2 linked regions of the Saccharomyces cerevisiae S288C genome follow. The gene in region 1 interacts genetically with each later gene. Each region holds a gene or a part of one and is shown on either strand. Other genes may lie near its edges. The genes, in order: PEX22 and MSC6.

Region 1 (3,095 bases):
CTCAAGAAAAGATTATATGTGAATAACACTGGTTACATACTCGATATTATGTCGTTCAAGTTCACTAAAATAGATATCATAGTACAACCTTCCAAATATAATGCATATCCGACAATGTCATCGAGGTTTGGTCACTTACAAATTTCTATTGATAATCCAAATAGGAGAGCTAGCGTTCATTCTTCAAGCATGAACGAAATTCATAAAATGGGGAGTGCTTCCATGAAACAAGGTAGCAGCATCACTTCCGGGCGGCTTGAAAAAGCAGCAGTACTTTCATCATTACCTCATAATACTGTGCACACGGTTATAATATTTGGTGGTTACAGACAAACCGGTGATGATCGTTACGAAGCAATGAATGATTTGTGGAAGATAGAGATACCCGTGATACGTCGCGGTAAAAAAGGTTATTGTAAGTTTTCAGAGACAGCTAACGCGATACTACTGACGCCAAGCGAAAAGGACAAATCGGATTGGCCCGAAGAAAGAGCCTTTTCTGCCTTTTCTGTTCATGGGACTTCGTTAATGGATAGGAGTTCTCTTGACATGAGACTATTGAACAACTTAAAAAACCATTTTGTTTTAAAACCGTCATATATATCACAGGATCGCGTTGTTAGTCCTAAACCGGTTTTCCCCATGATGGTTCATGGCACGCATCAAGATCTTTTCAATAGTGGCTCTGCGGCACAAGAATCGCCCAAAGCTGGTGCCTCGGCCAGCAGCGCAAGTGCTGCGAGCTTTGATCCCGATATGGACGATAATTTGGAAAATTATATAGTCAATCCAGGGAGAAAATCGTCATCTATTCCAATGACTGCGATAGGGAGACAGAGATTAATTTTAAGCCAAGAGAAGCCAGTAGGTAAAACTGTTGTATTGCATGGTGGGTCTAACGGTCTCAACGTTCTTGATGATATGTGGTTGATGGACTTAGAGTGTGAGACATGGACTCCAATAGAGACATTTGCAAAGGCAGATTCGAGCGAAGACGGTGATGAAAAATTGGATAGTGTGAACGTAGGTCTCGTTGGCCACAGAATGGAAAGTATTGGACGAATATGTGTATGTATAGGTGGTATGGTACAAGAGGATGTTGACCAATTTTACTCGGAGAATGATGATGAGCCTCCTCGAAAACGCAAGGTCGATACATTACCGTTGGGTGGTAATTTTTTGAACACAATTGATTTAAGCACGCAGTGTTGGGAAGAACATAAAATTACTCTGTCCAAGAAGGAAGACGATGAGGACAGACAAGATAGCGAAAATGAAGATACAAATTCAAATATAGTAGTTGGTGTCGGTGGCACTTCTTTGCAATGTGACAAAAGTATTATTTTGATTGGCGGATTGATATCTAGACGGAGCAATGTAAAAGAAATATATTTACATGGTACCATAACGAAAAGTATTTTTCCTAGCGTAAATCCTAGTGCATAAAAAGGCAGTTTTCAATGCTTTCACTTTGTAAACTTTGTTTAGTAGTAGAATATAATATATTCAGTTTTGTTTTATAGTCACATAACACTTTGTCTTTCAAAGAATAATCTCCTTCGCAATACCAGCGAAATATTTTGGCAAAAAATTAACAATTAGGTTCATAGTCCCCTAATTCAATTAATCGAAAAAAAAAAAATAAAATATAAGGGAAGATTGTGCTGATGAAATAGACAATGAAACAATAATGAAGAATAAAGAAGAAGAAGATATAAAACATGCCACCACCATCAAGAAGTAGAATAAACAAAACAAGAACATTAGGAATAGTGGGTACAGCTATAGCAGTGTTGGTCACGTCCTACTATATATATCAAAAGGTGACAAGTGCAAAGGAAGATAATGGGGCACGACCTCCAGAGGGTGATTCAGTAAAAGAGAACAAAAAGGCAAGGAAGAGCAAATGTATTATAATGAGCAAGTCGATACAAGGACTGCCCATAAAGTGGGAGGAGTACGCCGCTGATGAAGTGGTTTTGCTGGTACCTACGAGCCACACTGATGGATCAATGAAACAAGCCATTGGGGATGCCTTTCGCAAGACGAAAAACGAACACAAAATCATATATTGCGATAGCATGGATGGATTATGGTCATGTGTAAGACGGCTAGGTAAATTTCAGTGCATATTGAACTCCAGGGACTTCACAAGTAGTGGTGGTAGCGATGCAGCAGTCGTTCCTGAAGATATAGGCAGGTTTGTCAAATTTGTTGTTGATAGCGATGTAGAGGATGTGCTGATTGACACTTTATGCAATTAATGTAGAAAAGAGTTTCTTGTAACAGTATGTAAAGAATAAATAATTATAAGTATAAATAAAAAGAGAAGGTGAAATAATAATAAGTAAGCAGCTCGGTTATAAGAGAACAAAAACACACGAAAAAAAAAAAGTCGTCAATATAAAAAGGAAAGAAATCATCATTACAACTTGACCGAATCAATTAGATGTCTAACAATGCCAGGGTTTGACAATGTAGAAACGTCGCCTAGTTGGTCACTTTCTCCTGCTAGGATTTTTCTTAAAATACGTCTCATAATTTTGCCGGATCTTGTCTTGGGCAAGTCATCCACTAAAATGATCAATTTTGGTGCGGCAAATGGCCCGATGTCTTTTCTAACAGTAAAGACCAAATGCTTCTTGATATCTTGTAATTCATCATCTGTTGCGGTGGACCAACTAGATTTGTTTTTCAACACCACAAATGCAGCAACTGCTTGACCAGTCAAGTCATCGTTGAATCCGACAACAGCACACTCGGCCACAATTGGATCTTCGATAATAGCAGCCTCAATTTCAGCGGTAGACAGACGGTGACCAGAGACGTTCACCACATCGTCTACACGACCCAAAATCCAGATATAACCATCCTTATCCTTTGCAGCACCATCACCAGTGAAATAGTAGCCAGGGTAAGGGTTCAAATAAGTGTCTAGATACCTATCATGATTTTTCCAAATAGTTCTTGCAAATGATGGCCATGCAGCTTTGACGGCAAGGACACCCTCTGCGTGGCTGGTGTTAAGTTCTTCACCAGTGTTAGGGTCAAGAACAACTGCATCAATACCGAAGAAGGGGAATGAGGCAGAACCC
Region 2 (4,839 bases), on another chromosome or scaffold:
TATTATCATCAAGGGCCATGCCTGGCTGGTTGCCGATAAGATCCGTGCCTGGATTCGAAATAGTGTCAGCTCTAGTTGTAAATCCCATTGAATTCAACTGAAATACTGGAGAATTTGAGTTATGAAGAATTTCATTCTCTAAAGTTGGTATTTGCAAAGGTCTGGAATTTGCCAATGCCATTATAAGTTCTTCTAATCAATTTTTTTATATGGTTTTTTGTCTTTTTTCGTATTTTTTTGTCCTTTTCTAAAATACTATAGCAAAGCAAAAAAAAAAGTAAAAAAAATTTGATTTATGAAAAGTTGAAATATCCTGGAAAAATTAGTTAAAACCTCCCAATATTTCTGTAGTTATTGATTGATTGCCCGTTTATTTTCTATTTTGCTGATATTGTTTCTGCTAACGTTTCTTTATATAATCCCGCTTGCTGACACAGAAGTGACTAAAATAGGGTAAAAAGGGAAATTATTACGAAAAGGGCAGTCCAAAGCAAATAAAAAACAATGGAATAGAAAATAAAAAAAATTAAAACTCAAAATAAAATGTATTCCAATGTAAAGGAAAAAATAAAATAATAGGAAAAAAGAAACTATTATTTTAAAGCCTTCAATAATGGAATGCTGAAAAGAAAAGTTATGATTTTGGTAATTTGAGTCAAATAGTCAATCAATGACTTTTTGTTTTTGGTTTTTCAGAAATAGAAATTACCAAGAACCTTAATTGATAAAAAAAAGGGGAGCTTGAAGGGAATACTGATAATACAAACAATATCGTGTAAAAAAAACCTACGTAAAAAATTAAATCAAGCCAAGCGAGAACAGAAAAAAAAAATGAAGTAAAATATTGGACTGGAATATGAAAATTTTAGAAAAAGAACTAGCCGGGATAAAAGTACAAGAAAAGGAGAAGAAGAAAAATTTTTGACTTCTCATCGCATGGGTTTTCAGAAAATTTTCTTATCAAAAATTTCATCGGGCGTATGATTTTCGTTTTTTTCTGCGTCGTTCCTTCACAAAGTATCGAAAACCCCAAACAAAAAAAATATAAAAAAAAAAAAACACCCTTGCACCCATAACATACGGCGAGATGTAAGGTAGGTATAGCAGACTTAGATATTGCGTGCGAATCAGTTTGATTCGCAAGTAAAATCTTCATGCGCATTAGTATAGAGCGTTGGAAGCAGTTAACATAGTATTTCGGTTTTTTTTCCCTTTCATAAAAAGGATTCTTCTTCCATAATCCCTTGCGTGAGTTGAATATGAATGAAACTCGTTGAACTAGTGAACAACAAGTGATTGTATGCTCATATTTAGTACTAACATTTCAGCATTGTATAATCCTTTCTTTACTTTCAGGATAAAGACATACATTCTACGTATGATCAAGAGTAAGGAACAAGAATATTAAAAAAAACGAGATGAACCTTGAGTATATATATATATATTTACACCAATGTGCCCTACGAAAATAGTGAAAAAAAAATTTCAGTTGCAACCGCGTTTTGTCCGTTAGTATCTTTTGTCCGTACACCTCGTACTAAAAAAGAAAACCAGTCCAAAAAGAAAGTCAAACGGTCCAAATCGGAAACACCGACGCTCAGCTTAATAAACATTGTGTAGAGCCAAGCGGAAAAGAATACCATTTAGCCGCCGATGCAGAAAACCGGTATATAGAGCTGAAAACAAAGATTGAACTCTCCAGACAAGTTAGAAGTAAAAGCAAGTAATATATAAGTTTTATAAGTGAATATTCGGTCGAAGGTAGTGTCAAAGTTACATCACCAAAACTACTTACTATTGAGGAAATATCAGGTGTGCCAATACGTTAATTGATCTGTGAATAAAAAACGAAGTTGGAACATTGTATTACCTTTCAAATATGCCATAAAAGGTTGCTCGTCGACTAAGTAATTAATCGATTATAAGAGGGAAAAAGCGGGGTAAGTAAAATGTAATATCATCATATACGATATACATACCGCCTGTGGAATCGTTCAATTGCTACACATGTCTAACTAAGGACGTACTGTCTATATGTTTGCTTAAGTTGGCTCTGCACAAAATAATATCAGAGCCTTCCACTGGGATACAGATGCTTTCCCATAATGCTTTAAGGGCCTTTGATTGTTCAAAGGTGATTATTTCACGAAGATGTCTAACCTCTTCAACATCGATATACCAACAAAGCAGCGTTCACTTACAAGAAACAGATGATGGACATTCAGGAAATAGAGAAAAGCACGTCTCACCGTTTGAAAGGGTACAAAATTTGGCTGCTGATTTGAAGAACGAGTTGAAAGCTCCAGATTCAGATATCAATGAAGTTTTTAATGACTTTAAAGATAAGATTGAATCGTTGAAACAGAAATTAAGGAACCCTTCACCTATGGAAAGATCACACTTGTTAGCGAATTTTTCTTCGGATCTCCTACAGGAATTAAGTTACAGAAGCAAAAATATGACGCTAGATCCTTATCAAGTATTAAACACATTGTGCCAATACAAATTGGCACGCTCACAACATTTCACGATTGTTTTAAAGTACCTTCTATATAATCAATCACCACAGGACGTTATTGCCTTATGGGTGAAGTACTTGGAAACCATTTCCGAAAACCCAGTGATCTTACTTCAAAATAGTTCTTCTCGTGCACATATGCAAAATATTGCAATTACCACCATTGCTTACTTATCTTTACCAGAGAATACTGTGGATATCAATATTCTGTATAAGATTTTACAGATCGATCGTAAAATGGGCCAGGTTTTACCTTTTAACATGATTAGAAGAATGTTAAGTACAGAATTTAGCTCTCTTGAAAGAAGAGACGTGATTATCAAAAATCTAAACACTTTGTACTATCAATACACAGTACAGGATAGTGATCATTTCTTAAGTCAAATTGAAAATGCTCCTAGATGGATAGATTTAAGGGATCTTTATGGCCAATACAATAAACTTGAAGGTGAGAAAAATGTAGAGATCATAAGCAAGTTCATGGACAAGTTTATTGATTTGGATAAACCCGACCAAGTTGTTACTATTTATAACCAGTATAGCAAGGTTTTCCCAAATAGTACGTCGCTGAAAGATTGTCTTTTAAGAGCTGTGTCGCACTTACGAGCTAAATCGAGTAAAGAGAAGTTGGACAGAATTCTAGCAGTCTGGAACAGTGTTATCAAACCAGGAGATAATATTAAAAACACATCTTATGCGACGCTAGTTAACGCACTAACTGATTCTGGAAATTTCAACCATTTAAAGGAATTTTGGGAAGAAGAACTTCCTAAAAAGTTCAAGAAAGATCCCATCGTGAAGGAAGCATTTCTCCTGGCCTTATGTCAAACTTCGCCTCTAAAGTATGACCAAGTCAAAGGGGAGTTAGCAGAGACTGTTAAAACCAAGAAGTTGTTCAATAAAGTTTTATTGCTAATGTTAGATGATGAAAAAGTGAGCGAAGAACAATTCAACACATTTTACTATAACCATTATCCATCAGATGGTGTGTTACCCCCTACTTTGGATACTCTAAGCATTAAAATGTACGCTAATTATAAATTTCAGGCAGAAGATACACGCCCACAATTCGATCTATTGCAAAGTGTTTCCATTAATCCCACCGATTATGAAAAGGTTGAAAAGATTACGAAAGCCTTTATTTCAGTGTGCCCCACTGTCGAGCCGATTCGTCAACTTTACAAACAATTGGGAACTCACTTAAATGCTAGGAATTATGCAGACTTTATTTCCGCAGAGTTTAATAAGCCTGACGGCACAGTGGCCGAGGCAAAGAATTTGTTTTCTGATTTTCTCTCATATCAAAAGACTAGAAAGAGAAACGTGGATAATACGCCTCTAAATGCTTTATTATTGGGGTTCTGTGATAAACTTTACAAGAGTAAACATAGCGAGTACGTTCCCTACATCGAAAAGTACTACAATCTAGCTAAGGATTCAAGTATCAGGGTGTCGAACTTGGCCGTTTCGAAAATTCTATTCAACTTGGCCACATTTGCACGCAATACTCAGCAGTTATCTGACAAAGAGGTTGCTTTTATTAACCAGTTTATGCGAGATTTAGGCACTAATGAGGGTTTTCGTCCCAACCCTAAGGATATTCAAATTTTAAAAGAATGTGATGGAATTACTGTTCCAGAAAAGTTGACTTAATACACTTGTCATAAGAAGACAATAAGAAAAGCTCAGAACCAATTTTCTGCACATATGATGCTGTAACTATATAATGATTTCTTGTATATAACTTCCGTATAATAGTTATTGCTTCCATGCATGATTCTTTCAAAGAACAATACAAAATAAAAATAAAAAAAAAAAAAAAAAATGAAAAAATGAAGCTACAAGTCGGGTAACAAAAAGTATTTCAAGATCTCTAAATATAAGTGGGCAAATAAAGTTAATGCCAAAACTCCATGCTACTTTTCACCTGAACTTATTGGGGGGAGTTAAGTCTATAAGTATCCGTAACGTATGGTAGCGACATCTTCAAAGAGGACGTTGGATCCGAAGGAGGAACATTTGCCTGCTGACAAAACATCCACTAATTCAAGCAACACTATAATATCTGAGTTGGCAACACAAGAGAAATCCAGCTCTAGTGGTACTACACTAAAATTAATAGCTCTTAATATCAAGTCCATATCAGATGAAGATGTGGGATATATCCAAAATGTTGAAAGACTGTCTTTAAGGAAAAATCACTTAACATCCTTACCAGCGAGTTTCAAGAGGTTATCAAGGCTGCAATATCTGGATTTGCATAATAACAATTTTAAAGAAATCCCATATATTTTGACACAATGCCCTCAATTAGAGATCTT

What was found.
Region 2: mutations in PEX22 (region 1) and MSC6 together harm fitness more than expected from each alone (negative genetic interaction), as found in Saccharomyces cerevisiae (2 studies listed by BioGRID).

Annotation. Positions count from the first base shown.
Region 1 is NC_001133.9:40,456-43,550, forward strand, and holds PEX22 (ubiquitin-protein transferase activating protein PEX22), read left to right. Parts: upstream 1-1,721; coding exon 1,722-2,264; downstream 2,265-3,095. Other genes in the region: GPB2 (Gpb2p), read left to right, coding at 1-1,446; ACS1 (acetate--CoA ligase 1), read right to left, coding at 2,426-3,095. UniProt on the Saccharomyces cerevisiae protein: Involved in peroxisome biogenesis.
Region 2 is NC_001147.6:1,000,479-1,005,317, reverse strand, and holds MSC6 (Msc6p), read left to right. Parts: upstream 1-2,092; coding exon 2,093-4,171; downstream 4,172-4,839. Other genes in the region: GDS1 (Gds1p), read right to left, coding at 1-181; SOG2 (Sog2p), read left to right, coding at 4,490-4,839. UniProt on the Saccharomyces cerevisiae protein: May be involved in the control of meiotic sister-chromatid recombination.